Linked DNA regions of Sus scrofa. The protein of the gene in region 1 interacts with the protein of each later gene in a biochemical or structural test. Links are inferred from orthologs where the notes say so. Each region holds a gene or a part of one and is shown in the gene's direction. Other genes may lie near its edges.

What was found.
Region 2: of the proteins of NEDD4 (region 1) and SQSTM1, one has a biochemical effect on the other in vitro, tested with the Homo sapiens proteins (2 studies listed by BioGRID). The link is inferred for Sus scrofa from reciprocal best matches to the Homo sapiens genes NEDD4 and SQSTM1.
Region 3: the proteins of NEDD4 (region 1) and RNF11 form a complex in vitro, tested with the Homo sapiens proteins (3 studies listed by BioGRID and IntAct, with this or other methods). The link is inferred for Sus scrofa from reciprocal best matches to the Homo sapiens genes NEDD4 and RNF11.
Region 4: the proteins of NEDD4 (region 1) and MLANA form a complex in vitro, tested with the Homo sapiens proteins (2 studies listed by BioGRID and IntAct, with this or other methods). The link is inferred for Sus scrofa from reciprocal best matches to the Homo sapiens genes NEDD4 and MLANA.
Region 5: the proteins of NEDD4 (region 1) and MAP3K5 form a complex in vitro, tested with the Homo sapiens proteins (2 studies listed by BioGRID, with this or other methods). The link is inferred for Sus scrofa from reciprocal best matches to the Homo sapiens genes NEDD4 and MAP3K5.
Region 6: the proteins of NEDD4 (region 1) and SGK1 form a complex in vitro, tested with the Homo sapiens proteins (3 studies listed by BioGRID, with this or other methods). The link is inferred for Sus scrofa from reciprocal best matches to the Homo sapiens genes NEDD4 and SGK1.
Region 7: the proteins of NEDD4 (region 1) and RAP2A form a complex in vitro, tested with the Homo sapiens proteins (2 studies listed by BioGRID). The link is inferred for Sus scrofa from reciprocal best matches to the Homo sapiens genes NEDD4 and RAP2A.

The regions. Positions count from the first base shown.
Region 1 is NC_010443.5:116,059,707-116,063,206, forward strand, and holds part of NEDD4 (E3 ubiquitin-protein ligase NEDD4), read left to right. Parts: intron 1-37; coding exon 38-111; intron 112-511; coding exon 512-572; intron 573-2,940; coding exon 2,941-3,000; intron 3,001-3,082; coding exon 3,083-3,190; intron 3,191-3,500. UniProt on the Homo sapiens protein: E3 ubiquitin-protein ligase which accepts ubiquitin from an E2 ubiquitin-conjugating enzyme in the form of a thioester and then directly transfers the ubiquitin to targeted substrates. Specifically ubiquitinates 'Lys-63' in target proteins.
Region 2 is NC_010444.4:78,761,199-78,765,461, reverse strand, and holds the start of SQSTM1 (sequestosome-1), read left to right. Parts: upstream 1-1,463; coding exon 1,464-1,782; intron 1,783-3,892; coding exon 3,893-3,988; intron 3,989-4,263. UniProt on the Homo sapiens protein: Molecular adapter required for selective macroautophagy (aggrephagy) by acting as a bridge between polyubiquitinated proteins and autophagosomes.
Region 3 is NC_010448.4:160,878,041-160,880,713, reverse strand, and holds part of RNF11 (RING finger protein 11), read left to right. Parts: intron 1-934; coding exon 935-1,104; intron 1,105-2,673. UniProt on the Homo sapiens protein: Essential component of a ubiquitin-editing protein complex, comprising also TNFAIP3, ITCH and TAX1BP1, that ensures the transient nature of inflammatory signaling pathways. Promotes the association of TNFAIP3 to RIPK1 after TNF stimulation.
Region 4 is NC_010443.5:216,242,661-216,246,958, reverse strand, and holds the start of MLANA (melanoma antigen recognized by T-cells 1), read left to right. Parts: upstream 1-1,498; 5' UTR 1,499-1,599; coding exon 1,600-1,676; intron 1,677-4,298. UniProt on the Homo sapiens protein: Involved in melanosome biogenesis by ensuring the stability of GPR143. Plays a vital role in the expression, stability, trafficking, and processing of melanocyte protein PMEL, which is critical to the formation of stage II melanosomes.
Region 5 is NC_010443.5:27,470,643-27,474,142, forward strand, and holds part of MAP3K5 (mitogen-activated protein kinase kinase kinase 5), read left to right. Parts: intron 1-2,033; coding exon 2,034-2,227; intron 2,228-3,118; coding exon 3,119-3,287; intron 3,288-3,500. UniProt on the Homo sapiens protein: Serine/threonine kinase which acts as an essential component of the MAP kinase signal transduction pathway. Plays an important role in the cascades of cellular responses evoked by changes in the environment.
Region 6 is NC_010443.5:29,747,786-29,750,952, forward strand, and holds part of SGK1 (serine/threonine-protein kinase Sgk1), read left to right. Parts: intron 1-109; exon of another isoform or gene 110-162; coding exon of another isoform or gene 163-238; intron 239-373; coding exon 374-449; intron 450-904; coding exon 905-980; intron 981-1,391; coding exon 1,392-1,496; intron 1,497-1,600; coding exon 1,601-1,684; intron 1,685-1,799; coding exon 1,800-1,931; intron 1,932-2,194; coding exon 2,195-2,307; intron 2,308-2,658; coding exon 2,659-2,782; intron 2,783-3,167. UniProt on the Homo sapiens protein: Serine/threonine-protein kinase which is involved in the regulation of a wide variety of ion channels, membrane transporters, cellular enzymes, transcription factors, neuronal excitability, cell growth, proliferation, survival, migration and apoptosis.
Region 7 is NC_010453.5:66,713,662-66,717,161, forward strand, and holds part of RAP2A (ras-related protein Rap-2a), read left to right. Parts: intron 1-1,039; coding exon 1,040-1,277; 3' UTR 1,278-3,500. UniProt on the Homo sapiens protein: Small GTP-binding protein which cycles between a GDP-bound inactive and a GTP-bound active form. In its active form interacts with and regulates several effectors including MAP4K4, MINK1 and TNIK.

The DNA.
Region 1 (3,500 bases):
CTAAAATAACATATCAAGGTATTATGCTTAATTTTAGACACATCAACATGAGTTGAAAAATGGTGGATCAGAAATAGTTGTCACCAATAAGAACAAAAAGGAATATATTTAGTAAGTATTTTGTTGTAACTATAAATACTTTAAGGGAAATAATTTTGTGCCTTCTTTCTCAATGAGTCAGAGTCTCAATTTTGTTTTCTTGCTTTTTTAAAATAAAAAAGTATTGTTTACTTATTATTTATTTATTGGCCATATCCATAGCATGCAGAAGCTCTCAGAGCCAGGGATCAAACCAGTCACATCAGTGACAATGCTGAGTCTTTAACTACTAAGCCGCCAGGAAATTCCCTCTTTTTTCTCTTTTTATCACAATGTCATATTACATTCAACTTTTTCCTTGGGCCTACCTAGCCTTTGTTTTTTTTGTTTGTTTGTTTCTAATCAAAATACATGTACCTTAACATTTTTTCTTGGTTCCTATGGAAAAGATGAAATGTTTTGTTTCTTTTAGTCTTGTAATACAATGGCGATTTGTAAACCGAATCCAGAAGCAAATGGCTGCTTTTAAGGAGGTATTCATTTTCTTTTGTTTGCTGTTCTGTAATTTCCCAGTCCAGTCCATAAGTTTTAAATAATTGGGCCCTATTATACCAGAGAAAAAGTAGCATGTGGCTTACTTTTTAAGACCATTTGTAAGTATATCTTCGTATTAGCAAAATAGTAAATGAATAGGTGTTCAATTAAAACACAGTCATTTAAGAATCCATACAGTAAATGTTGACCTCCCCCCTTAATAACTGTCGTTTCCTCTCACCTTTTATAGTTCCACTCCTGCCACCTTATGTAACCTTAGGTGAACAGAGGAACACGAGTGCTAGAGGGGTGGCAGAGTCTACCATTTGCTTCTTTCTGTAATGGGCTCACACTGTCCATGGTGGCTTGTGACTTGCTTTCTCTTATCAAATATTTTTGGAGGTCTTAACAGATCAACATATTTAGTGACCTTTCTTTGTAGCTGCATTTTATTCATGATGTAAATTCCCAGGTTATTCTTCCCAATTGATGGACATTTAGGCTGTCATCATTTCTTACGCTAATAAAGGCCTTCTGTTAAATATTTATCACATGCTTTTTCCTGTATTCAGTAGCAAGCACTGACTCTGTGTCTGGTGCTATGCAAGACAAAAAGACATAGGGCCTGCTGTCAAGGAACAGAGCATCTAAAGGGTGAAATGGACAGAGGGAACCTGAAGTGCTAGGTAAGCAGAGGAGAGGTGTAGACACCAGAGCAGGGAGGGGAGGAGGCAGGGGCAGGGACTGGCCAGCCACAGAGATGGAGGAAATGCAACTCTAAGCAGAGGGAGCAGCACATGTGAAGTCTGGCAGTAAGACGGACTATGCACACCTTAGAGAAAGTGCCAGCAGTTACCTTATTGGTAAGAGGATGCCATTGTGGCTGAGCAAAACCCAACTAGTACCATGAGGGTAATGGCCTCGCTCATTGGGTTAAGGCTCCAGTGTTGTCGTGAGCTGCGGTGTAGGTCGCAGATGTGCTGTGGCTGTGGTATAGGCTGGCAGCTGCAGCTCTAATTCAACCCCTAGCCTGGGAACTTCCATATGCCACAGGTGTGGCCCTAAAAAAAAAAAAAGGAATGAAAGAGCTAAAACTAAGCCTGGAAAGCTGAGCAGAACCAGATGATGGCGGGCCTGTTTATGTATAGTTTTCACTGAAATCCAGACAGTGAGAAAAGAAGGTGGCATTAAATGGTATTAAACATAAAACACCAGGATTCGGTGTTACATTTTGGCCAGATCATTCTTGAAGGGGTATGCAGTGAACTAGAGGAGGGCAGGACTAGCAGCGGAGGCTAGCTGGGTGAGAAACGGTCCGGATGGTGGGAAGAGAGCTGTGTGTGTATCTGAATGGCCCTCAGGAAGGGAGAGCTATAGCATTGGGTGATTTAAAGGATGGCAGCGTGGGGATCATCTGCATGTGTGTAGTGCAACTGTGGACTAGACAGGATGGAAAATTCCAAAGAACCCTAAGAATGGTGACAGTGGATGGCCACACGGGGGGCTGTGAGAACACCAACATTTAAGGAATGAACAGCAGAAGAAACATCAGTGGAAATCAGCTAAGGCAGATGAAGACATAGGAGATAAACCATGAATAGCAGACAGAGTTTCAAGAGCATAGGTGTTGTCAACAATATCATAGTGCAGAGAAGTCCGATACTGTGGGGATCTAGAAAGTGTTTATCAGAGGCAGCTGCAAAGCTGTCTTTGACTTTCTCTAGGACAGCTTCAGGAGAGCACTGATGAAGAGGTCAGATTGCAGTGGTTGAGGGAGAGATGGAGGTGAGCAGGTAGCTTTGGAAGGTACAGTAACACTGTCCAGAACATGACTGTGACGAGAAAAGAGAGGGGCTTGCCTTTTTGTTTTGTTTTTAAGGTAGATATGGCTTGAACGAATTTCGATGCATAAAGAGTGAGCTGATAAAAATGTCGTGAGATGACATCCTTGAGGCAGAAGAAGCACTGAGAGGAAGTGGTCCCTCTCCCCAGGGCGGGGGAGGAAGCCCTCATGGATGTTGGTGCTGGTTGGTCTGGGGGGATGCAGAAGGCTGAGGGAATTCCATCCTGCAGCGTCGCCTCAATTTTCATTCTAAAATAGATATTATCTGCTGTGAAGAAGGGATGATATGGAAGAGAAGGAGGCTTGAAAAGTGCAGAGTTTTAAAACGGCCACTTTGAGGGATCAGTGAGAGAACAGACACATATCTCGTCTTGCCAGTATTGAATTGTCAGTTAAGAGCCCACGGGTGTGTAGTGGTAGGAATCTGTGTGGCCTTGGGATTTCTCCAGTAATGCCCGAAGCTGAAATACAGGGTTACCCTCTGACTCTGCTAACCGGAGTTTGAAATATATTCTTTCCACTAGGGATTTTTTGAACTGATTCCACAGGATCTCATCAAAATTTTTGATGAAAATGAACTAGAGGTGAGAAATATCGTGCTTATCTTCAAACAAGACCTTTGTGCCAATTTTTCTTGCTTGTGGTTTGACATTTTCTATTTTGTAGCTTCTCATGTGTGGATTGGGAGATGTCGACGTGAATGACTGGAGAGAACACACAAAGTACAAAAATGGCTACAGTGTAAATCATCAAGTCATCCAGTGGTTTTGGAAGGTAATGGAAAGCTTCCATTTTCAGAAATCGCTTTTCGGTAGATGCAACCATATTACATCTTCTAGTGTGGATCACATATAGATAAGAGAGAAAGTATATATCACCCCGCAAAAATTATCTTTGATTTTGTACTGTATACATTTACCTTCTAGATATGGTCCCACCCTCCGTACATATTTATAGATAAGTAACATGTTGAAAATGTAGTAAGTGGCAGTGACAGCAGAGGCACTTCTGTTCCTCTTTAAAGAAGAGACCCTTCAGAGTTCCTGTCACGGCTCAGTGGTTAACAAATCCAACTAGGAACTAT
Region 2 (4,263 bases), on another chromosome or scaffold:
CTACTCTGAAACTCTCTGGGAGGAACAAGCCACATCTGTGGCTAGGTTCCTGCTGTGATTCCACAAGCAAGTCAGCAAACTAGCCAAACCCAATCTACCTTCCCCATGGTCTCTGGGTTTCCCATTCCCTTAAGGTTTTTTGTTTGTTTGTTTGTTTTTGTCTTTTTAGGACTGCACCTGAGGCATATGGAGATTCCCAAGCTAGGGGTCGAATCAGAGCCGTAGCCGCTGGCCTCCACCACAGCCGCAGCAACCCAGGATCTGAGGCTAGTCTGCAATTTACACCATAGCTCAGGGCAACACCAGATTGTTAACCCACTGAGCAAGGCCAGGGATCAAACCTGCGTCCTCATGATGCTAGTCAGATTTGTTTCCGCTGAGCCACGATGGGAACTCCCATCCCTTTAAGTTTTACTGACTTCCACAAACCCCACCATGAAAAAAGTGAGTGTGACTCAGCAGGTCTGACTTTCTACCTACAGAGCCCTACTTGGGAGGATTCATAGGGTGACATACCCGCCTGCTTACCTTCTTCTAAGGCACCTCCTCCCCCAACAACCCCCTTCCCCTAGGCACTTTGAACAGGTCACTTCGGTTACATAAAAGAGTGTTTCTTGGCTCCTGGGGGTGGGGTAGGGTGGGGGCTGTTGATGTAATCCCTGGGCTGCCCATGAGGCCAACAGACCTGAGATCTTTCAGGCCATTGGGCACCATTTGCTGAGCTGAACCTTGAGCTGACAAGTGGGGATGGATGGGGAGTACCGATGGGGAGTCCTTAGGGCTTCAGTGAACATTTGGTGGCCACTGAGGCTCCAGGAAGCCTTAGCAGACCCCCCAGCAAGGTGGGGATGGGAAGATCCTGTGCTCTTCTGGCATCTCTCAACCCTACCCCCTATTAAACTGGAAGCTCCTCTGGTGCTCAGGTTTGAGTTGAGTGTCTGTGCTTTAACCCAGTAAAGGGCCATTAGGGGGGATGCTGGGGGCGGCGTAGTGGGCTGCCACCTGAGAAACTGGTGGCAAGAGCGGGCCCTTGACAAGAGTGGCAAGGTCAAGACAGCGCCTCGGGAGCCAATTTGTTGTAGCTAGCAGTGTCAGCAGTGTCCCCTCTTCCTGGCTTCCAGCCTCTGTTGCCCACCTCCCTCCTGAGCTGTGCATCCCCGGTGGCCTGGGTTCCGTTTTGCTGAGTCACGGCCTGGTCAGGCCTGGGAGGGGTCTAGGGCGGGACCCTGGCCGGTCCCTTGCCCCAGGTATAGAGGTAGGCGCCAGACTTAGATGTCAGCGTGCGGGGCCGGCCTCTTGGTGTCCCTGGTGCACTTGGGGCGGTGAGGAGAGGGGTCGGGAATGAGGGGGCTCAACGGCGGGGAGAGGTAGCGAGGCTGGGGCTCCTGTAGGGCGGCTCTCGCGCGACGGCCGGGGTGGCTGGAGCCAGACCTCTGACACTCAGGCCCCGCCCCCAGGAAGCGATGAGGGGCGGGGCTTCACCCGCGTTCCCTACAAAGGCCGCGCGTCCCCTCCCGCTGCCGCCGCCGCCGCCGCTACCACCGCCGGGCTCTTCTCTTGCTCCCCAACTGGTGGTCATGGCGTCGCTCACCGTGAAGGCCTACCTTCTGGGCAAGGAGGATGCGGCCCGCGAGATTCGCCGCTTCAGCTTCTGTTTCAGCCCGGAGCCCGAGGCGGAAGCCGAGGCCGCGGCTGGCCCCGGACCTTGCGAGCGGCTGTTGAGCCGGGTGGCCGCCCTGTTCCCCGTGCTACGGCCCGGCGGCTTCCAGGCGCACTACCGCGGTGAGCAGGCCGGGCGCTCTCGGGGAGCGGTGCGGGGCCGTGACGCAGTGCTGCCCTGCCGGGCAGGGTCGCTGCTCCCTTCCTTCTCGTGGGGCTTGGGGCCGCCTGCGGGAGTTTGATCGCTCGTTGGGTGGGCGGTGGCCCGCGTGGGTTCCCATTTCGGCCTTGGGTGCCATTCTGGTAGCCAGGAGTGGTGACCACAGCCAGACCTGTGGGGTCAGGCGCTGCCAGTCCCCTAGCGGATCGGGCCCGGCGACGTAAGAGGCCTCCCCTCCCCCCACCATGATGGTGCAGATCTTGGGGAGGGCGCGCGGGGGCGTCCTCACGGCGGGCACGGGGTGGTTAGAGGGGCACTCGGGTTACACTGCCACTTGGCTACTGCCCAGCTGGGGCCCGCTAGCCCCAGATGGGGGGTTCGGATAGTAACCCGGAAGAGCCTGGGCGGGCAGATGAGGGGGAAGGGCTGGCTACGCAGAAAAGTGACGAGGGTAAATAAGCAGTGGGGAGCCCTCAGGGCTGCACAGTCTGGCCGGAGGTGGGGAGGAGAGACCATAGGTTGCCCAAGGCCAGGCGGGATCCAGACGTTATCCCGTTGGCAGCGGACAGAGGGACAAGGTGAAAACATTCTCGAGAAGTGTTGGTGTAGGGACAGAGCTCACGAGCCTGCCTAGTTTCTAGCTGAGCTGGCGTGACCGGTGGCTGCGCGGGGTGGAGTTGGGGGAGGTTGTTGTGACTGGGAGGGAGGCGGGCGGACCAGGCCCGCCGGTGGGTGGGGCCGTGCCGGGACCTCCCTCAGGACTGCTGCCAGCTCGCCAGCCCCTAGCTTTTTCAAAAAAATAACTTTGAGTTCCTGTTCACATACTGTAGTTTAAAGTGTTGAGTTTTTAGTATATTCACAGATTTGCGCAGCCATTATCACAATCATCTGGGAACATTTTCATCACTTTATACACCAACTCTGTTAGCTTCCTCCCATCCCCATCATCCTATCCTCCAATCCCCAAGCGACCCCTAATCTCTATGGATTCCCCTATTCTGGACATTTCATGTAAAAATATGTAGTCTTGTAACTGGCATCTCTTATTTACATACTATTTTCAAGGTTTACTTATGTTGTAGTATGTATCAGTACTTAATTCCTTTTTGTGGATGAATAATATTGTCTTATGGTCATGCCACATCTTGTTTAGCCATTCATTAGCTGATGGGTGTTTAGGTTGTTTCTGCCTTTTTTTTTTTTTTTTTTTTTTGTCTTTAGGGTCACACCGGAGGCATATGGAAGTTCCCAGGCTGAGGGTTGAATCAGAGCTGCAGCTGCCGGCCTACGCCACAGCCACAGCAACACCAGATCTGAGCTGTGTCTGCCACTTACACCACAGCTCATGGCAACGCCAGATCCTTAACCCACTGAGCGAGGCCAGGGATTGAACCCACATCCTCATGGATACTAGTCGGGTTTATTTCTGCTGAGCCACAACGGGAACTCCCTATTTCTGCTTTTTGACACAGTCCCTGATTTTATGGTAGATGTTGTGTTTGGTGGTCCATAGACCTGACCTGGCTTGCACATGTATTGTGTGGTTGGTTCTGTGTGGTGGTGCTTTAAATCATTTCAGCTGACATCTAAAAGTTGGAGGCTTCATACAAAGACATAATTTTAGCTTCGTTGGGGAGGAAGCAGGAAGATATATTCTACTTTCCTAAGCCACAAGAGGTCCAAGAATTTTGGAGGGGCTGGAACGCCAAGGAGCCAGTTGCAGATGGGGACCTCCCACAGTTGACAGGGTCTGGTTGGATGTAGATGGAGACAGCACCTTTCTGACAGAGCAGCTGGCCCAGAGGCAGAGTGGCAGGTGGCTGGGTGCTACCACTGCTGCCCACTGCACACAGGCACTCCACCTCCCAAGTGTGCCTGGGCCCAGCTTGGAGTGCTCACCTTCCAGGCAGTGGCAGGGTGAATGAGAAGTTCGGCCCCAGCCCTGCTTGCCCCTGGCTCACCCAGGTGGGCGTCAGTTTATAGCCCTGCACAGGCCCCTTTGGCACTGGCCTCAGTCCTTTCAGCAGCTTGTGTCCAACTGGGTGTTGATGCGCTGTCTTTTAAACATTCTAGATGAGGACGGGGACTTGGTTGCCTTTTCCAGTGACGAGGAACTGACGATGGCGATGTCGTATGTGAAGGATGACATCTTCCGTATTTACATTAAAGGTAAGGGGCTGCTCTGTGCTGAGTCAAACCAGCTTGAGGTCATGGAGAAGTTGCTCCAAAGAAGGGGTGAGGAGACTATGGGCCGTTTAAGGCAGGGCCGGGATCGTCTCTGAGGAAGGGTCCGTGTCCACCATGGTGGGGAGGTCAGAGGGTCTTTGGGTTCCCTCTTTATTGTGCCTGCGGGCCAGCTTTGGGGTTGATTTTAGTGCCGGACAAGTCTAAAATGGTGCAGACGCAACTCCCTGCTGCCTCACGCCGGCCAGGCTGCACATGCC
Region 3 (2,673 bases), on another chromosome or scaffold:
GGCGTTGCCGTGAGCTGTGGTGTAGGTTGCAGACGCGGCTCGGATCCTGCATTGCTGTGGCTCTGGTGTAGGCCAGTGGCTCCAGCTCCTATTCGACCCCTAGCCTGGGAACCTCCATATGCCGAGGGAGTGGCCCAAGAAATAGCAAAAAGACAAAAAAAAAATTTAAAAATAAAGTTATTGTCTATATGGAAAGAAACAAGTTTGCAAATAAGGAGACTCTGTAATGGCCAATTCTAATGTAAATAATGGTATACTGAGGTCACAATACTCTGTTATGGCCTATAGAATATTGAATACAGGGAGTTCTTGTCATGGCTCAGTGGAAATGAATTTGACCAGGAACCATGAGGTTACAGGTTCGGTCCCTGCCCTTGCTCAGTGGGTTAAGGATCCGGCATTGCCGTGAGCTGTGGTGTGGGTTGCAGACACGACTCGGATCTGGCGTTGCTGTGGCTTTGGCGTAGGCTAGCAGCAACAGCTCCGATTAGACCCCTGGGAACTTCCATATGCCATGGGCACAGCCCTAAGAAGACCCCCCCCCCAAAAAAAAATATTGGATACGGTCCTACAATATCGAATATTGAATATGGCCTACAGAATATTGAATTATTGGTTAATTAATTACATTGATTTATCTGTGTGTCAGGAATGAATATATCTAGGTTATATGGTCTTCCTGTAGAAATACTTCAGGTAACATTTCTGAAAAACATGCTAGTTTTTCAGTAAAGTTTTGTGTTTATATCCGTTAAACACGTGATATGCTAGAAGTTAAGGCAGGGTAAAACAGAATCTCACGTTTCTGCATACTTATCCGGTCTCCTTCTCCCAAAGCTCCCTACCCCAGCCAAAAAAAGAAACAAAAGGAAAGCATTACTGCAGGATACATATTTTTTAAAAATAATTCTTTTCTCCATTTTTTAAAATTTAGGAACAAGTTCCAGTTCCGGTCTATCATCCAACACCTAGCCAGACTCGCCTAGCAACTCAGCTGACTGAAGAGGAACAAATTAGGATAGCTCAAAGAATAGGCCTTATACAGCATCTGCCTAAAGGAGTTTATGACCCTGGAAGAGATGGATCAGAAAAAAAGATCCGGGAGTAAGTTTAATTTATACATGTTTTTAAGGTCTATCTTCAGAGATTTGTTTTTAAAAAATATTATCCTGCATTTGGAAGCAGATATTTAATCAGTTTGTGCAAGAAAATATTTAGAGGTAGCAATTAAGAAATTTTCATATTAAAGTAGGTAAGAAGTAACTGATGGTGCAACTTCTGTTTTTTATGTTGCCTATGTCCATTTGGATGACAGTGTCAGTTAAAAATGATTCACCTAGTGATAATAAGTGTGAACTAGTGCCAACATTGCTGGTGGCCTTTTCGTCTAGGAAAGAAATTTGGCAATATGTCAAGAACTTTTATTTATTTATTTATTTGTCTTTTTTTTTTTTTTTTTTTTTTTTTTTTTTTGTTGCTATTTCTTGGGCCGCTCCCGCGGCATATGGAGGTTCCCAGGCTAGGGGTCCAATTGGAGCTGTAGCCACCGGCCTACGCCAGAGCCACAGCAACGCGGGATCCGAGCCGTGTCTGCAACCTACACCACAGCTCACGGCAACGCCGGATCGTTAACCCACTGAGCAAGGGCAGGGACCGAACCCGCGACCTCATGGTTCCTAGTCGGATTCGTTAACCACTGCGCCACGACGGGAACTCCTCAAGAACTTTTAGACCTAAACTATTTGAGAGAGTTAATTCTAGAATCTGTCCAAAAATACATAACTCACTCCAACCCCTAGAGCTTTATGTACAAAGATATTCACCGTAAGTTGGGTTTTTAAATTTGTTTTGATTTGTTTGTTTGTTTTTTGGTGGTTTTTTTTCGGGGGGGGGGGGGGGCTGTGTCCACAGCATACAAAAAGTTCCCAGGCCAGGGACCAAACCAGTGCCACATCAGTGACCTGAGCCGCTGCAGTGACAATGCTGAATCCTTAACCCACTGCACCATAAGGGAACTGCCAGCATAGTTTTATTTAGTGGAAAACTACAGTAGAGGAATAGTTAAGTAAATTGAGGTGTAGGATATTTTGAACAGTTATGCAGCCATTAAAATTGTTTGCTAAGAGTTTTAGTGATATGAGGAAAATCTTACCTAGAGTATTGATTTCTGAAACATTGCAGAGTTGGGTTCTTCTTGAATCTGTAGAAAGGTATAGTGAGCTTTAAACTGGGGTTAATGAAGAGACCTTTAGGCTGCAACAGCCCAGTAAGTACACTGAAATTAGTGGTTCTGTTTTTACATATAGTAATTAAAGTGAAAACTGTCTTACTCCTGGATTTACACTAAAAACTCCTTTCAAGTAAACAAAATTAATCTAACATGATTCCTACTTACTAAGCTTCACATTCTCCTTCAGGTGTCTTCTGTCATCTGTAGCTGTTTCACAAGCACAGTGCTAGCAATGGACCTGATCCCCATGTGATACTGTTTTTGTTGCCCTGTTCATTGCTCTCAAAGGCTTTAAATTCCCAGGTGATTGAAATAAGAGATTGTGCTAGGTAACACTTATTAGGAAAAAATTCAGTCTGCTTGCTTAGGTAGTAGGATGATAGGCAGGATATTTTCTTCTGTTCATTTTAACACTGTCTTTATACTAGGTATGTTAAAGAGTT
Region 4 (4,298 bases), about 100 Mb from region 1:
AACGTTGATAATCCTCCGACTTCTGAAGGTTCACAGAGTCTCCCCTAGGTCCTCTCTCTAGACTGCCTTGAAGCAAAGCAGAGAGCCAGGAGAAGCCACCATTCAGGCTGCAGCTGGCTTGAGGGCACCTGTGCCTGGTCCCTTCAAGACCACTTTTCTTGGCTCAGATGGGGTGAGGTGCATGTGCAATCTCTGCACTGTTTGCCAAGGCTCAAAGCTGGAAGTAGAGATCTACACAAATAATTGAATGCAAAAATAATCAAGTATTGTGCCTCTAATTCTGAACAGAGGGTTCACCCCCGCATTATTCACCTGAGATGACCAGTGGGTTTAAGTGTGGTTTCTTCTTCACAACTGGGAAGGGCAGATTACACTTGAAATGCCCCGTGGTAAGGGTTCATGGGATCAACTCTCTGTCCCATCTCCCATGTCTCTCCAGCTATTCTAAACAGGCTCATTAATATAACTCTCTGGAAATCAGACCTTTGGGATTCATGAGAATAATATGTGGAAAGAAAAATACACAACAGTAAGGAGAGAAGAGAAGCCACTGTTAGTTTTTGATCAGCATACTTTAATCACAACCACTGAAGTTCATGAGCTTTTTGTCTATTTTTTTTCATTACTGCTTAAAATTTTGTATTACAATTAGAAATATATATATGTATTTTTAAACCCTAGTCATGAGACTTGAGCAGGGAGATGAAGAAAATGATTTTGGTAGGAGGGAAAACAAACTGTTAGACAGAGTCAGGCTTCCTGGGCTTACCTTGGATGGGTGAATGTGGACACACCCAGGCAGCTGTTTTGGGCCGTTCCTTTGTTAGAAAATGGGCTTGGAGGGTGCTGTGCTAGGTGACATGCATTATGTCACCATAGCCTTCTATTTGTCCAAGGATTGATATAAAATAAAACCTTTGTAGGAGTTCCCTCTGTGGCTCAGTGGTAACAAACCTGACTAGTATCCATAAGGATGTAGGTTTGATCCCTGGCTTTGCTCAGTGGGTTAAGGTTCTGGCACTGCCATGAGCTATGGTGTAGGTCACAGACGCGGCTCAGTTCTGGCACTGCTGTGGCATAGGCTGGCAGCTGTGATTTGACCCCTACCTGGGAACTTCCACATGCCCTGGGTGTGGGTCTTAAATAAATAAATAAGTAAATAAATCCTTTGGAGAGAAACAATTCCTCAGATTAACGACAGCCATCAGCCAGGGAAAGTAAGGAATGAATAACAATGGGTTTTTTTTTTTCTCTACAAGTTTATGTATAGAGTCAAATTGAAGTTTCTGTACCCCGCCCCTTCCACGCCACAAATAATAACTCAATTTGAAAGATCTTTGCCTTTGTTTGTGGTTTCTTCCTTGCTTAATTTTCAGTTGGTAGAAAGGGGTTAGAAACCTGAACAATTTTTACCTGTTACCAGTGAAAGAAACAGGTACAAATTCTCTCACAGAGAGAAACCAGGGGGTTCAGCTCTTATTATCAGTCATCTGGCAAAAATGTCTTCGTGGATATTTGAGATTGCAAGAACACTCTGGATGCATGAAGTGATACTTGCGTACCCTTGCTGTTAGGTGTCCTGTGACCTGACCCCACAAGATGCCAAGAGAAGAGGCTCACTTCTTCTATGGTTCCTCTAAGAAGGGGCACGGCCACTCCCACATCACAGCTGAAGAGTAAGTTCAGCAATGGACCCAGCGCCATTTCCAGTTTGCTGTTTGCTGATACAGTCTGCTGGCTTTCACCAGCACATGCCTGTCTGTAAATCCCTCTAGTGTTTATTTCTCCAGAAAGTAAAATCCCTGGCAATGAGGTGAGGAGACCCTGTGGTCCTCTGAGGGGCCTCAAATGTCTCTGAGGCCAAAGAGGCAAGGAGATAGGAAAGGTAAAAATTTGGATTTTGCCATTTTTGCCTGAATTCTTAGCTATTTGGTTCCTAGGCTGAAAAACATCTATCTGGGAGCAAGATGCCTTTTTCCTCAAGCCTTGCCTGTCTGTTTCACTAGGGTTCCTGGATGTGATTTGTAGACAGAACACAGGCAAGTTGCCAAAGAGCAAATGACTGACTCCAGGGTGAAGGTGGTGGTCATAAGATTTTCATCAATACTTTATCCTAAGGAAAGGTGTTTCATATTATGAATTAATTTAAAATAAGCATTTAAGCATTTAAAATAAAAAAAAAAACCATTTCTAAGTGCTAAGCATTGTATACCAGCATTGTATACCACTATTCTTATCTTTGAAAAAAATCTTACAATCTATTGGGAGGGTGAGGTAGTAACTCTAAGAGTAATTTCAGCAAGTGTTAAGTGCTGTGATGGGAACACAGACTGCAGGACACACTGCATGGACTAGAGTGGACAAGGGGTAGGGAGGGGGCTCCCCCCTTTTAGTGGAGACTCCAAAAGGACAAACAAGGAACTTGGTTTTTATTTGAACCACTTCTCTCTCTTTTTCTTTTTCTTTCCTTCTCTTTTTTTTTTTTTTTTTTTTTTTGGCTTTTTAGGGCCACACCTGCAGCATATGGAGGTTCCCAGTCTGGGGGTCCAATTGGAACTATGGTTGCTGGCCTATACCACAGTTTACAGCAATGCCAGATCCTTAACCCACTGAGCAAGGCCAGAGATCAAACCCACGACCTCATGGTTCCTAAGTTGGATTTGTTTCCTCTGAACCATGATGGGAACTCCTCTTTTTTTTCTTTTTATGGCTGCACCTGTGGCATGTGGAAGTTCCCTAGCTAGGGGTTGAATTAGATCTGCAGCTGAGGCCTACGCCACAGTCATAGTAATACCATATTCGAGCCACATCTGCAAGCTATGCTGTAGTTGCAGCAACACTGGATCCTTAACCTACTGATTGTGGCCGGAGATCAAAACCACATCTTCACATAGACAAGGTTGGGTCCCTAACCCACTGAGCCACAGTGGGACCTCCTAAACCACCTCTTAAGTGGTCTGCTCAGAACTTCCTGCAAACCTGCATTCTCAGGGAAGAACTGCTGAATATCTTTACTAGAGTGAACTAGCAGGGGTAGGAGAGATGTAGAACCCATCAAAGGCATGAAGGAGGAATTCAGGATGGAGCATTTCCTTAGAAAGACCCTATTGGGATTCTCTAACATCCCTGTGTGTTCGTCTGAAAGGTGAGGGGGGAGATCACCTGAAAAAAAATCCCATGAGTAAAATTTCCTCTTAGGGGGAACACTGCACATGGTATTAGGTAGGATATTATTTCAGCTTTTTTATGATGACACAACAGACTCTATCTCTGAAACCATAGTCAAGAGTTTCTCAGTTGAGAGGGCATAAGCCAACTATGGAGCTTGTGAAAATGCAGCTTCCCAAGTGCTGCTACCTAGACCCATGGAGAGGCTGACTCCACAGGTCTGGGGTGGGGAGTCCCAGGATCTGCACTTGAACTGCTTCTCAGGCAACTCTATTGTAGGAGGTATTTGGGTGACATCTGAGAGCCCTGCCAGGGTGTTTAGTAGGCTCTTTTGGTGCATTTGACACATCCTAGCATTCTTGACTCTCTATGAGTGCACTGGGACTATGTGTGAAAAGCTGGAACAGAGCTCTGTCTGTGTCATAACATCCTGAGGGATGACCACAGACCTGGGGGGTAAAATTAGAGTGCAGGCATGCTGGGAATTGAATCAGCTGCCTCAGTCACGAGAGCCCACTGAATGCTCCTTGTGACAGCTTCATTTCAGGAAAGGGTGATGTGGCAGAAAAGACACTGGCTGGGGGGTGGGGGGCGGTGGTCCCAGGCCAGCTGCTGTGAATGCTGGTTCTGCCGTTCTCTGGTGTGTAACCTTGGGCATTTACCAGCCTCAGGTCTGAGGGATGTCAGATGTGAAATGAGCATCATATCTACCCCAGAGGATTATTGTGAGGATGAAATCAAAGCCTATAGTGGGGTACTTGCCACAGTGCTTGGCACAAACTGGTGTTCAGTGAATAGCAAAGCAGCCACTTACGTGGTGGTGACAATGAGGAATCTCAGTAGGTCTCAGCATCATGATCTACGAAGTGGGCTGATCGGCTGCATAATTACATCAGCATTTTTATCCAGCACTGTCATCCATTTAGAGATGGGCAGGATGGGCTGGATGCCCCAGCAGCCCTGAGATGGTGGTGGTCTGGTGAGTGGTACTGGGCAAAGTTCTATCCAGGAGATCCCTCCATTGGCCCTTGTTTCACCAGCTCAATCTCTTATAAATCACACAGCTCTGCAGAGCCTTTCTTTAGCAAGGCACAGATAAAAGACTCAGCACTCTCCCCTTTGATCATGCT
Region 5 (3,500 bases), about 89 Mb from region 1:
TGGGTTCTTAACCCACTGAGCCACAGCAGGAACTCCTCAAGTCTGGTTCTATTTTCTGAATTTTTTTTGTTTTTTTTGTCTTTTTGCCATTTCTTGGGCCGCTCCAGCGGCATATGGAGGTTCCCAGGCTAGGGGTCGAATTGGAGCTGTAGCCGCCAGCCTACGCCAGAGCCACAGCAACGCAGGATCCGAGCCGCGTCTCATGGCACAGCTCACGGCAACGCCGGATCATTAACCCACTGAGCAAGGGCAGGGATCGAACCCGCAATCTCATGGTTCCTAGTCGGATTCGTTAGCCACTGCGCCACGACGGGAACTCCCCTATTTTCTGAATTTTTGCTTTTTAAGTGTCCCACTCTTCTTTAGGGAGCCTCATTTAGGACGGTGGAGTTGCCTTTCTTCTTTCTTCTTCCTCTCTTTCAGTACCTGTAGCCAGCTGACTAGTCTTGAGGATTCTTTCTTTTTGACTATGGTGCACACGTCCACTACCACTGCTGCCAATCTGGTCATGCTTTGTAGCTTCCCACCTAATTTCCTTAAATCTCGTTTCTTTCTCTTTCAGTTCATTCTCTTTTCTGCCCAGACTGTCAAAATGCATAATTTTGTTTACGTTTCCTTTCCTGCTCTGAAGCCTTCTGTGCTTCCCACTGCCCAGCATATAGAGTTTGAAATCCTTAACTTTGCATTCAGTCCCTTCCCTGAGCCCTAAGCTCCGGTCAGATCCTCTTACTCAGGGGTGTTCAATCCAATTTCTCCTTTATTCTTCCCAGCACCCCTTTGGTTTGCACTAGGGCACCCTCACTTGACGCCGTCAGGAACAGATAGCAGGGCGTGATGGGTGAGCGCAGAGTGGCAGGGGCTGCAGTTAGAGAGAGAGGCGGGGTTTGGATCGTCAAGCCCTAGTGGGCTACCGTGCCCTGTTTTATCTTCATCCCAGGAGCAAGGGAGAGGGCTTGAAGCAGCTGAGGGAAGTCCTCTGATATAGGTTGTTAAAAGACCACTTTGACAGGTGGGTAGATAATAGATTGGCAGGCAAGATGGGAAGCAGGGAGCCCAGCTAAGAGCCAGTGAGGGCAGCTCAGGCTGGGCAGGCTGATGACGTGGTCCGCAGTGCTGGCCGAGAAGATGGACGGAAATGGACAAACACGAGATATGTTTTAGAGGTAGAACAGACAGGACTTGGACAGGCTGTGGGAGATGAAGAAGATGGAAGCATCAGGGATAACGTCAGGGTCTCTAGACTTAGTAACTGGCACACGCCCAGAGCCGCGATGGAGCAGCCTGGAGGAGAGGAGCTTATTCTGGCATCTCTCACACGTGCCTGTCACGTGGGGCGCCCTTCCACATTAGCTCGGGTCATTTCTGTGTATTTATGCGGTGTCACCCTGAGTAAAATTCAAGTTGCCAGAAGGCTAAAGGCTTTTTTTTAATTACCCTGTTTTTCCTACTGCGTATATCATGCCTTAGCCATGAGAAATGGTGAATAAATATTTAATCGATTGATAGAAACTGTGCCATACTATTTTTTAAATCATCTGTAAGTCCGAATTATTTGAAGGAAGCAGTAAAAGAAATTGGAGGAAATGCCTATTTTCTTTCTTTTCTTTTTTCTTTTTTTCTTTTTTTTGTCTTTTGTCTTTTTAGGGCCGCTCCCATGGCATATGGAGGCTCCCAGGCTAGGGGTCTAATCGGAGCTGTAGCCACTGGCCTACACCACAGCCACAGCAATGCCAGATCTGAGCCGCATCTGTGACGTACACCGCAGCTCACGGCAATGCAGCATCCTTAACCCACTGAGCAAGGCCAGGGATAGAACCTGCAACCTTATGGTTCGTAGTCAGATTCGTTTCCACTGCACCTCGACAGGAACTCCCGAGATTTCCATTTTCATAGGTCCTAAAGAAGAGGCTTTTTGATTTCCCTTCACATTCAGGGTTATTGTTTCAAATGGCTCACCGAAGTAAGGTTTGGGGTTACATTCGTGTGGAATCTGCAGGCCAGCTGATCACCTCCTGTGACTCCTCTTTCCACAGATGTGCACTGGGAATTACACGTTTGTTCCGTACATGATAACTCCGCATAATAAGGTCTACTGCTGTGATAGCAGCTTCATGAAGGGCTTGACAGAGCTCATGCAGCCGAACTTCGAGCTGCTACTCGGACCCATCTGCTTACCTCTTGTGGATCGTTTCATTCAGCTTTTGAAGGTGGCACAAGCAAGTTCCAGGTAAAATGTCATAATGCCATTTGGCGAGGATAATGATGTGCTCGTCTACATCATTTATTCGTACATCTTTTTTTTTTTTTTTTTTTGGCCATGCCTGTGGTATGTGGAAGTTTCCAAGGCCAGGGATTGAACCCTTGCCACTGCAGTGACGATGCCAGATCCTTAACCCACTGCGCCACAAGAGAACTCCTACCTGTGTATTTTATCAGATGTTTCCTACATATAGTACTCAGCCAAGAATCAGGAAAAAATATGTAATATCCTCTAAGTAGATAAAAGAGATGCTGTACAGTCTACCTCCTGCATTTTGTCCACTTTATTCATGGGAGAACAATTTGAAATCAGAAAAAAGACTGCTAACGGTATTATAGTAATGGTAGAGCTAAAAATATATTCCAAATTAGTACAGAAATATTATCTAAATAAATGTCCAAGGACTTTTAGTGTAAGGATAAGAACTCTAAAAATTGCTGAAAGCATTATTGTATTTTAGTTAAAAGCAGGCATAATAAATGATGCTGGATTAGAAAATAAAGGTTATATTATGTTCAAATCATAGGCACACGTAATTATTTAGAATAATTTCTACTCCAAACAGCAAAATGAAAAATAAATTTTTAACATTCTAAAATGGTACATTGCAAGGTCTTGGAAAATTCGTTAGCGTAGAGTGTCTTTACCTTTAATTCTTTCTGAAGCAAGGTAGAGTGTTAAAAGAATAGGAAGCCTGATTTTTCAATAATACCAGATAGATGAGATATTCATTTTATGCATCTTAATGAACTGAAAGGTATGAATTCTGCAGATATCATTCCTTTCCTTATAAAATCATTGCTTTTCGTTGAAATTCTTTATAATATTAACCATTAAAATTGTGTGCTTTCTCACCAGCCAGTATTTCCGAGAGTCTATACTCAACGATATCAGGAAAGCTCGTAACTTATACACTGGTAAAGAATTGGCAGCTGAATTGGCAAGAATTCGACAGCGGGTGGATAATATTGAAGTGCTGACAGCAGATATTGTCATAAATCTATTGCTTTCCTACAGAGATATTCAGGTGAGAAGGTGCTTGGAGTCAAGTCTTTGTCATCTAGCATGCTGCAGGAATAAGGGGGTATTACATCCAATTTCAGTTACCTAATAAGTCAGTACATGTCCCTACATGTAATCTTTTATTGGCTCTTCTAAGCTTCCCACCCATAGATTTTATGATAAATGAAATAGACTCACATAAGTCAACCACTAGTGATTATGAAAGACTTGTATGATA
Region 6 (3,167 bases), about 86 Mb from region 1:
CGGGGGCGGGGCCGGGGCGGGGCCAGGCAGCGCCACTTCCTCATTGTTGCGTGGGCCCCGCCCCCGCGGCGACAAAACGCTTATAAAGGCGGTGGCAGTGCGGGAGCGCAGTGTTGGCTGAGCAGGTCTCCCTTCGCTAGCAACTCCCTGTTCTCTGTGACGATGACAGTGAAAACCGAGGCTGCTAGGAACACACTCACTTACTCCAGAATGAGGGGAATGGTAGCAATTCTCATCGGTGAGTGTAGGAATACGGCTGGATTTCTAGGTTTCGCGAAGTGGAAATTTTGCAAAGTCCCGGATCAGATTAGTGTGCGTGGCGTTGGATGTTACAATACCGTCTAAACATGTATTTCTCCTCTCTAATTCACAGCTTTCATGAAACAGAGAAGGATGGGCCTGAACGACTTTATTCAGAAGATTGCCAATAATTCCTATGCATGCAAACAGTAAGTTGGGGGGCGATTTGGGAAAATAAACATAAGTAGTAAAATTTTCCATTTACCAGTAGTGAAGACACATTCTCATCAGTATATGGATCAGGATGCTAAAGACTTTCTGGGGGGGAGGGGGCGGGTCCGTTTTCTCTTTAGGTTCTAATTATTTAAAACATTTGAAACATTAGAATTAATTAGCTGATTGGGCTTGTTCTAGAAATTCAAGAGGAAACTTTCATGTGTGCCTAATTAATCCCCTCTCTCCACAAAGGACAACCGTCCTCTCTGTAGTTAACTGGGTTTATTCTTTTCTTTGGCGATTATTTTCTTTAGCTGAGTAGTTGATTTGGATGTTTTTAGTTGAAACACTGAATTCTCCGGAAAAGTTGAGCCAGAAATTCACTGTTGGTGTTGTTCTGCCCCCTTGTGGAGAGCGAGCAGGTTCTAACTTCTTCCTTTCTTTGCAGCTCTGAAGTTCAGTCCATTTTGAAAATCTCTCAACCTCAGGAGCCTGAGCTTATGAATGCCAACCCTTCTCCTCCTGTAAGTGTCCTCTGTTGTGATGCATCAATGGAGAAATCTTGTAAATGAGTCATATAAGTCTTCCTACATTGTTGAGTTAAAACAGCATTTCTAGAAGTTAGTGTCAAGGCAGGAATGCCTCATTAGTGCATGGCAAACAAGTGACATAAGTAAGCACTTAAGTATGAGTCAGTGGAGTATTTTAAAAGGCATATTTCATAAGGGTATTTTCTGTTTAACAATAGCACGACTGTACAATTTCCATACGATAGTCACATGTATAGATGAAAAGTAGTTTGGAATGTGTTTATAGATATATGGGGACCTGCCTCAGTCATCTGTAGATGTATTCTCCTTTACATTGCCTGTACTGTATAACTGATAATCTTCCTTTGAAGCAAGGCTATTAAAAGAAAACATTTTATTTTCCAGCCAAGTCCTTCTCAGCAAATCAACCTGGGCCCATCTTCCAATCCTCATGCTAAACCGTCTGACTTTCACTTCTTGAAAGTGATTGGGAAGGGCAGTTTTGGAAAGGTAATTTCACATCTGAATTTTTCATTATTTGCAGTCCTTCGTATGCTCATTTTACATACTCCCTGAATGTGGCCAGCAAAATTGACTTTTAATTTAAATTTCAGGTTCTTCTAGCAAGACACAAAGCAGAAGAAGCATTCTATGCAGTCAAAGTTTTACAAAAGAAGGCGATCCTGAAAAAGAAGGAGGTATGAGTTGGGCTTGGTGGGTGGAAGTTGGAGATAAGACATTCACAGACTTTACCTTGGAATCTTTGGAGCCGAGTTGCAATTTGCCACTAACTCTTCATTGTCCTTTTCATAGGAAAAGCACATTATGTCGGAGCGGAATGTTCTCCTGAAGAATGTGAAACACCCTTTCCTGGTGGGCCTTCATTTCTCTTTCCAGACTGCTGACAAACTGTACTTTGTCCTAGACTACATTAACGGTGGAGAGGTGAGCAGAGGTGTTAGGAGGTGACCTTGGGTGTCTGTGGGCAGCCTGCTGAGAGGAAAGTGTTGAAAAGATACTCAGTGGGGGGAAAAGTTATCAGAATGAACATTCCCTTTGAACCTGCTTTTAGCCAGCTTTCAAATAGTTAATAGACTATTTAGGGCCGCTTCCTGCCATTGTCCTCTTTAGCTATATATGTCAAGACTAATTCTAGGCATTGTCCTCAGGCTTTGGCAGCTCTGCTAACTCTGTTTTGTCTCTTGCAGTTGTTCTACCATCTCCAGAGGGAGCGATGCTTCCTGGAACCACGGGCTCGGTTCTATGCTGCTGAAATAGCCAGTGCCTTGGGTTACCTGCACTCTCTGAACATCGTTTATAGGTGAGCTGAAGAGCTCTTAAGGCTCCCTTCTGTGCATAAAGGAGACAGAAGATAACATAGCCCTAGGTTTTGACCTAGCCTTTGACGGGGTCTTAAAATCATTGTGTCAAGGCACAGCTTGGTTACCTAAACCCAGATCCCTGAGCATGTGAGCTGTCTTTGACTCCGTGCCACTAGGGAACTAGCCAGCGAGGATCGTGCCTAATCCAGAGGAGATGAACAGAACAAGGACTCCCTTTCATATTCACAACTCCAGTGAATGTGAAATGCCTAACAGCCCCAGCAGTGGTCTTTTACAGAGGGTTGCTCATGTAGTGAAATTTACTTATGTGACTATTCTTTTTTTTACAGAGACTTAAAACCAGAGAATATTTTGCTAGATTCACAGGGACACATTGTCCTTACCGACTTTGGACTCTGCAAGGAGAACATTGAACACAACGGCACGACATCCACCTTCTGCGGCACACCTGAGGTAGGCGCACTCTTGATTTGGTGCCTGCACCCCCACCCCCGCCAGGAAGAGAGAAGTGCCCTAAGGCTTTTAACTACTGAAAGAATCAACTGCTCTTGGATTTGGGGGGCGGGGGGCAATTCAGTGTGAGTAAAACACATTGGCTGTTGGAGGCATGAGGAATTCCAAGGCCTCACGTTGCTTTAATTAAAACTAGCTGTTTGCAAGATCTGTGACATAAGGGTTTCTAAATCCCCACATAAGCTATCTGAGGGATGCCCAATAGCTTTGTAAATGTCAGGACGTATAAGTGGCCAATCAGCCTCAAAGCTAGCAGTTTTATCAGGAAGCAGTCTAAAGAAAGCCAGCCTCCCAGTAGACCCCGGATCTTGCAGGCCTTTGAAGT
Region 7 (3,500 bases), on another chromosome or scaffold:
AGAGGCCTGGCCTCCTAAGTACTGTCACATTGGGGATTAGGCTTCAACAGGAATTTTGAGGGGACACGCACTGAGTCTGTATCACACTGATTCTAGTCAGGAAGGAAAAGAAGAGAGAACATCAAATAAAGCTAATGATTGAAATGTCTCAGTCCAGGAGTTCCCATCATGGCGCAGCGGAAAAGAATCCGACTAGGAACCAAGAGGTTGCGGGTTCGATCCCTAGCCTCACTCAGTGGGTTAAGGATCCAGTGTTGCCATGAACCGTGGCATAGGTCGCAGACGTGGCTCGGATCCTGCATGGCTGTGGCTGTGGCGTAGGCCAACAGCTGCAGCTCTGATTAGACCCCTACCTGGAAACTTCTATATGCCACGTGTGCAGCCCTAAAAAGCAAAAAAAAAAAAAAAAAAATTAAAAAAAAATGAAATGTTTCAGTCCATGTCAGGCTGAAAAGAACCATAGCTGTCTTTCAACAGGCTCATCTATAAGGGTTTTTGTAAAGAGATAGAATATGGTTATACTTGATGGGGTCTATCCTCATGAGTTCTGCTAGCTCTTTTCTTATATTGGAACTGTTCGAACATCAGTTTTACAGACTTGTAGAACATTAAAGTGCTGAGATTATATAAAATTATAAATTATTTGTTTACTCAGTAGAGCTATTACCTCATCAAGTGAAATTTTGAGTAAGCATCTCTTATAACGAAAAAGGTTTACGTTAATCCATCTAAGGGGACTTCTTCGGAGATTCGGAGACTACTTTTCCGCGTCTATCTGGAAAGGTAAATTGATTTTAAAAGATGTATAATTAATTAAAAACATCATTTTGAAAAAGCTGCTTATGATCCACGAGGAGGCTGCTTCCAAATGCCTTAAGGCAGATGTTAGGGCCAACTGGAGCAAATCATTCTTCATGCCACTCAAGAGAGTATTTATTGGTAGTCGAATATCGTGAAAGAAGAGAAAATGCCTTCCAGCTGCTTAACTCTGTGCCGATAACTCCTGCAACGTCTGTGTGTTTTGTCGCTTCTCCCACAGGTATGAGAAAGTGCCAGTCATCCTGGTTGGGAACAAGGTGGACCTGGAAAGCGAGAGGGAGGTGTCCTCCGGCGAAGGCAGGGCCCTGGCGGAGGAGTGGGGCTGCCCCTTCATGGAAACGTCTGCCAAGAGTAAAACGATGGTGGACGAACTCTTTGCGGAAATCGTGAGGCAGATGAACTACGCGGCGCAGCCGGACAAGGACGACCCGTGCTGCTCCGCCTGTAACATTCAATAGCACCCGCGGCCGCCGGCTGTCCTGGTCGGGAGCCGCCCCACGTCGCGGGCGCTGCAGACCTCGCCCGCCGGGCTGCGGAGCCCCCAGGACGCGTGCCGTGCTCTCCAGGGGAGGAGCAGCCCTTGTCGGGAGTGGAGCAGGGATTGTCTGCCGATGTCCCCGAGGAACATTTGGCTTCATAGCCCCGGCGTCCACCACTGCCCTCGGTCTGCTCCCGGCACCTGCAGCTGAGGGCGGAGCCAGTCCCTCGGCAGGGCGGGGTCTCCTTGGACCGGAGGATGGCGCTGTCACCCAGGGGACAGACGCAACTATGGCATCCATTGAAAATGACCATGGGAGAGAAACCAGAAGAATTCCTATGACCGCTCACAATTAAAATATTTTGTCTTCTTAAAAAAAAAATAATAATAAGTAAAGGAGAAATATTTTCCTACGAGAGTACTGGATTTCAGGAACTGAGATAGTGCTTCTAACCAATGTATTGCGTCAAGTAAGATAGTAACAGCTGACCTGCCAGCAGCATTATGAGGAGAGATCCTTTGCTCAGCTGACACCTTTCTGTTTTTGAGACTCGATGCTTAATTGTCGATGTTATCCTAATTTGTGACACAGAACTAACTCACGCATCAGTCCCTGGTAGAGCGAAAGTTAGAACAGGTTGTGTCAAAAATACAGCCTGGCTTCAGAATGTGTTACCACCTGCTTTGCCCAGAAAATGGAGACTCTCACAAGGGTTTGATCCGGATTGAAACCCCAGACCGACTCTCTTGTTAACCAAGCAGGGAAGGTCTTTTACTTTACTGCACAAGAAGGAAGCAACTGTGATGAAGAGAGATTGCCTAGCCTTACTAACGAGAAGCGTTCTAGTAGATGAACTAGCACCACCATGTACGGAAAACGAAGCCATGTTGCAGCTACAGGTTCCCGTTTGCAGAAAAAAACCTCCCAGGACAGTACAAATATCTAGCATTTTTCCGTTCGTTATAGCAGCAGATTCCTTCTTGCCTTTAAGGGCTATGGTTGTGGTGTGATTCTTGGCTAACCTGCTTTCAAAATCAGTTTTTGCTGTAGCAGAGCTTTATTGCAGGCATTTAAAACATGGAATAACCATGTGAAATAATTTGGGCTTCAAAGTAGAACATAAATTATAGAGTGGAAGGTAAGAGACAAAAAACAAAAACAAAAAACACCTTTATCTTTCATTTTCCTGGAGAATTATATATAAGGTTTTCTTATAACAATTTTGCCCTGATTCCTGAAGTGGCAAATAAAGCTAGAGTGAATATTTTGTTTTGAAAAGGTGCTCAAGTTCTGACATTTTTGGTTCTTACAGCCGTAAAGTATTTATCATTTGCATGACTAATGGCACAGGAAAAATCTATTCGTTAAGTTTTACAATCAAGTGCAGAAGGGTTTTCATCTAACTTCAGAGTTACAGAGGCTAAGGAGAGTACCTTGAGCTGATCCTCTGGAGAGAAATTTGGCCTTCAGAACTGCAATAGCACTGAGCCTGTGATCTACATGCTGCCCCCACATTTTGTTGGTTTCACACTTGTGCAAGTAACTTCTGGTCTGACGTGTGTAACTGAGCGAAGAGTGTGTTTGTGTGTGCATGTGTGTTTACTGTTCCTAAGAATTTGGCACAAGTCAGCTAATTGCCTATACTAAGAATGTGTACTGCAGAATATAGTGTATCAAAAACATTTTTTTCTTTTCAGTTGGTTTTTTTATGCAATTTTTGTTTATTATGGAAATCATTGGTAGCCCCCTTCCCCCAAGTGTTTAGTAAACTGGCATTAAGGTTGGAGGAGAGAAAAGAGGTGGATTGTACTTTTCATAGCTGAGAAAACAGAGCTATGTGAATAAAACCAGGCTGTGGTTATCAAGTCTTTGAATTGTGAATATTAGCATTCTTTGATGAGTTTTTTTGTTTTTTTTGTTTTTAATATATAATCCCCAGTTATGAAGCACCTTGGTTATGGAAGGAAAAGTTCTAACCATTTTTTTGAAACAAATTTCATCATGTAAAAGGTGATTTGACTCAATCATGTAGAGAAATCACATTCGGGAAGTGAGACTCTTAGCTGAAATATTTGTTCGTGCATTGTCTGAGTTTTGACGCCTCTAACTTCTCAGAATGATTCTGGTTTTTAGAATTCCATATTTAATAGCAGTTGATGACAACTAAGACTACGTGTTAGAAACATCTATAAAAGTTCTACT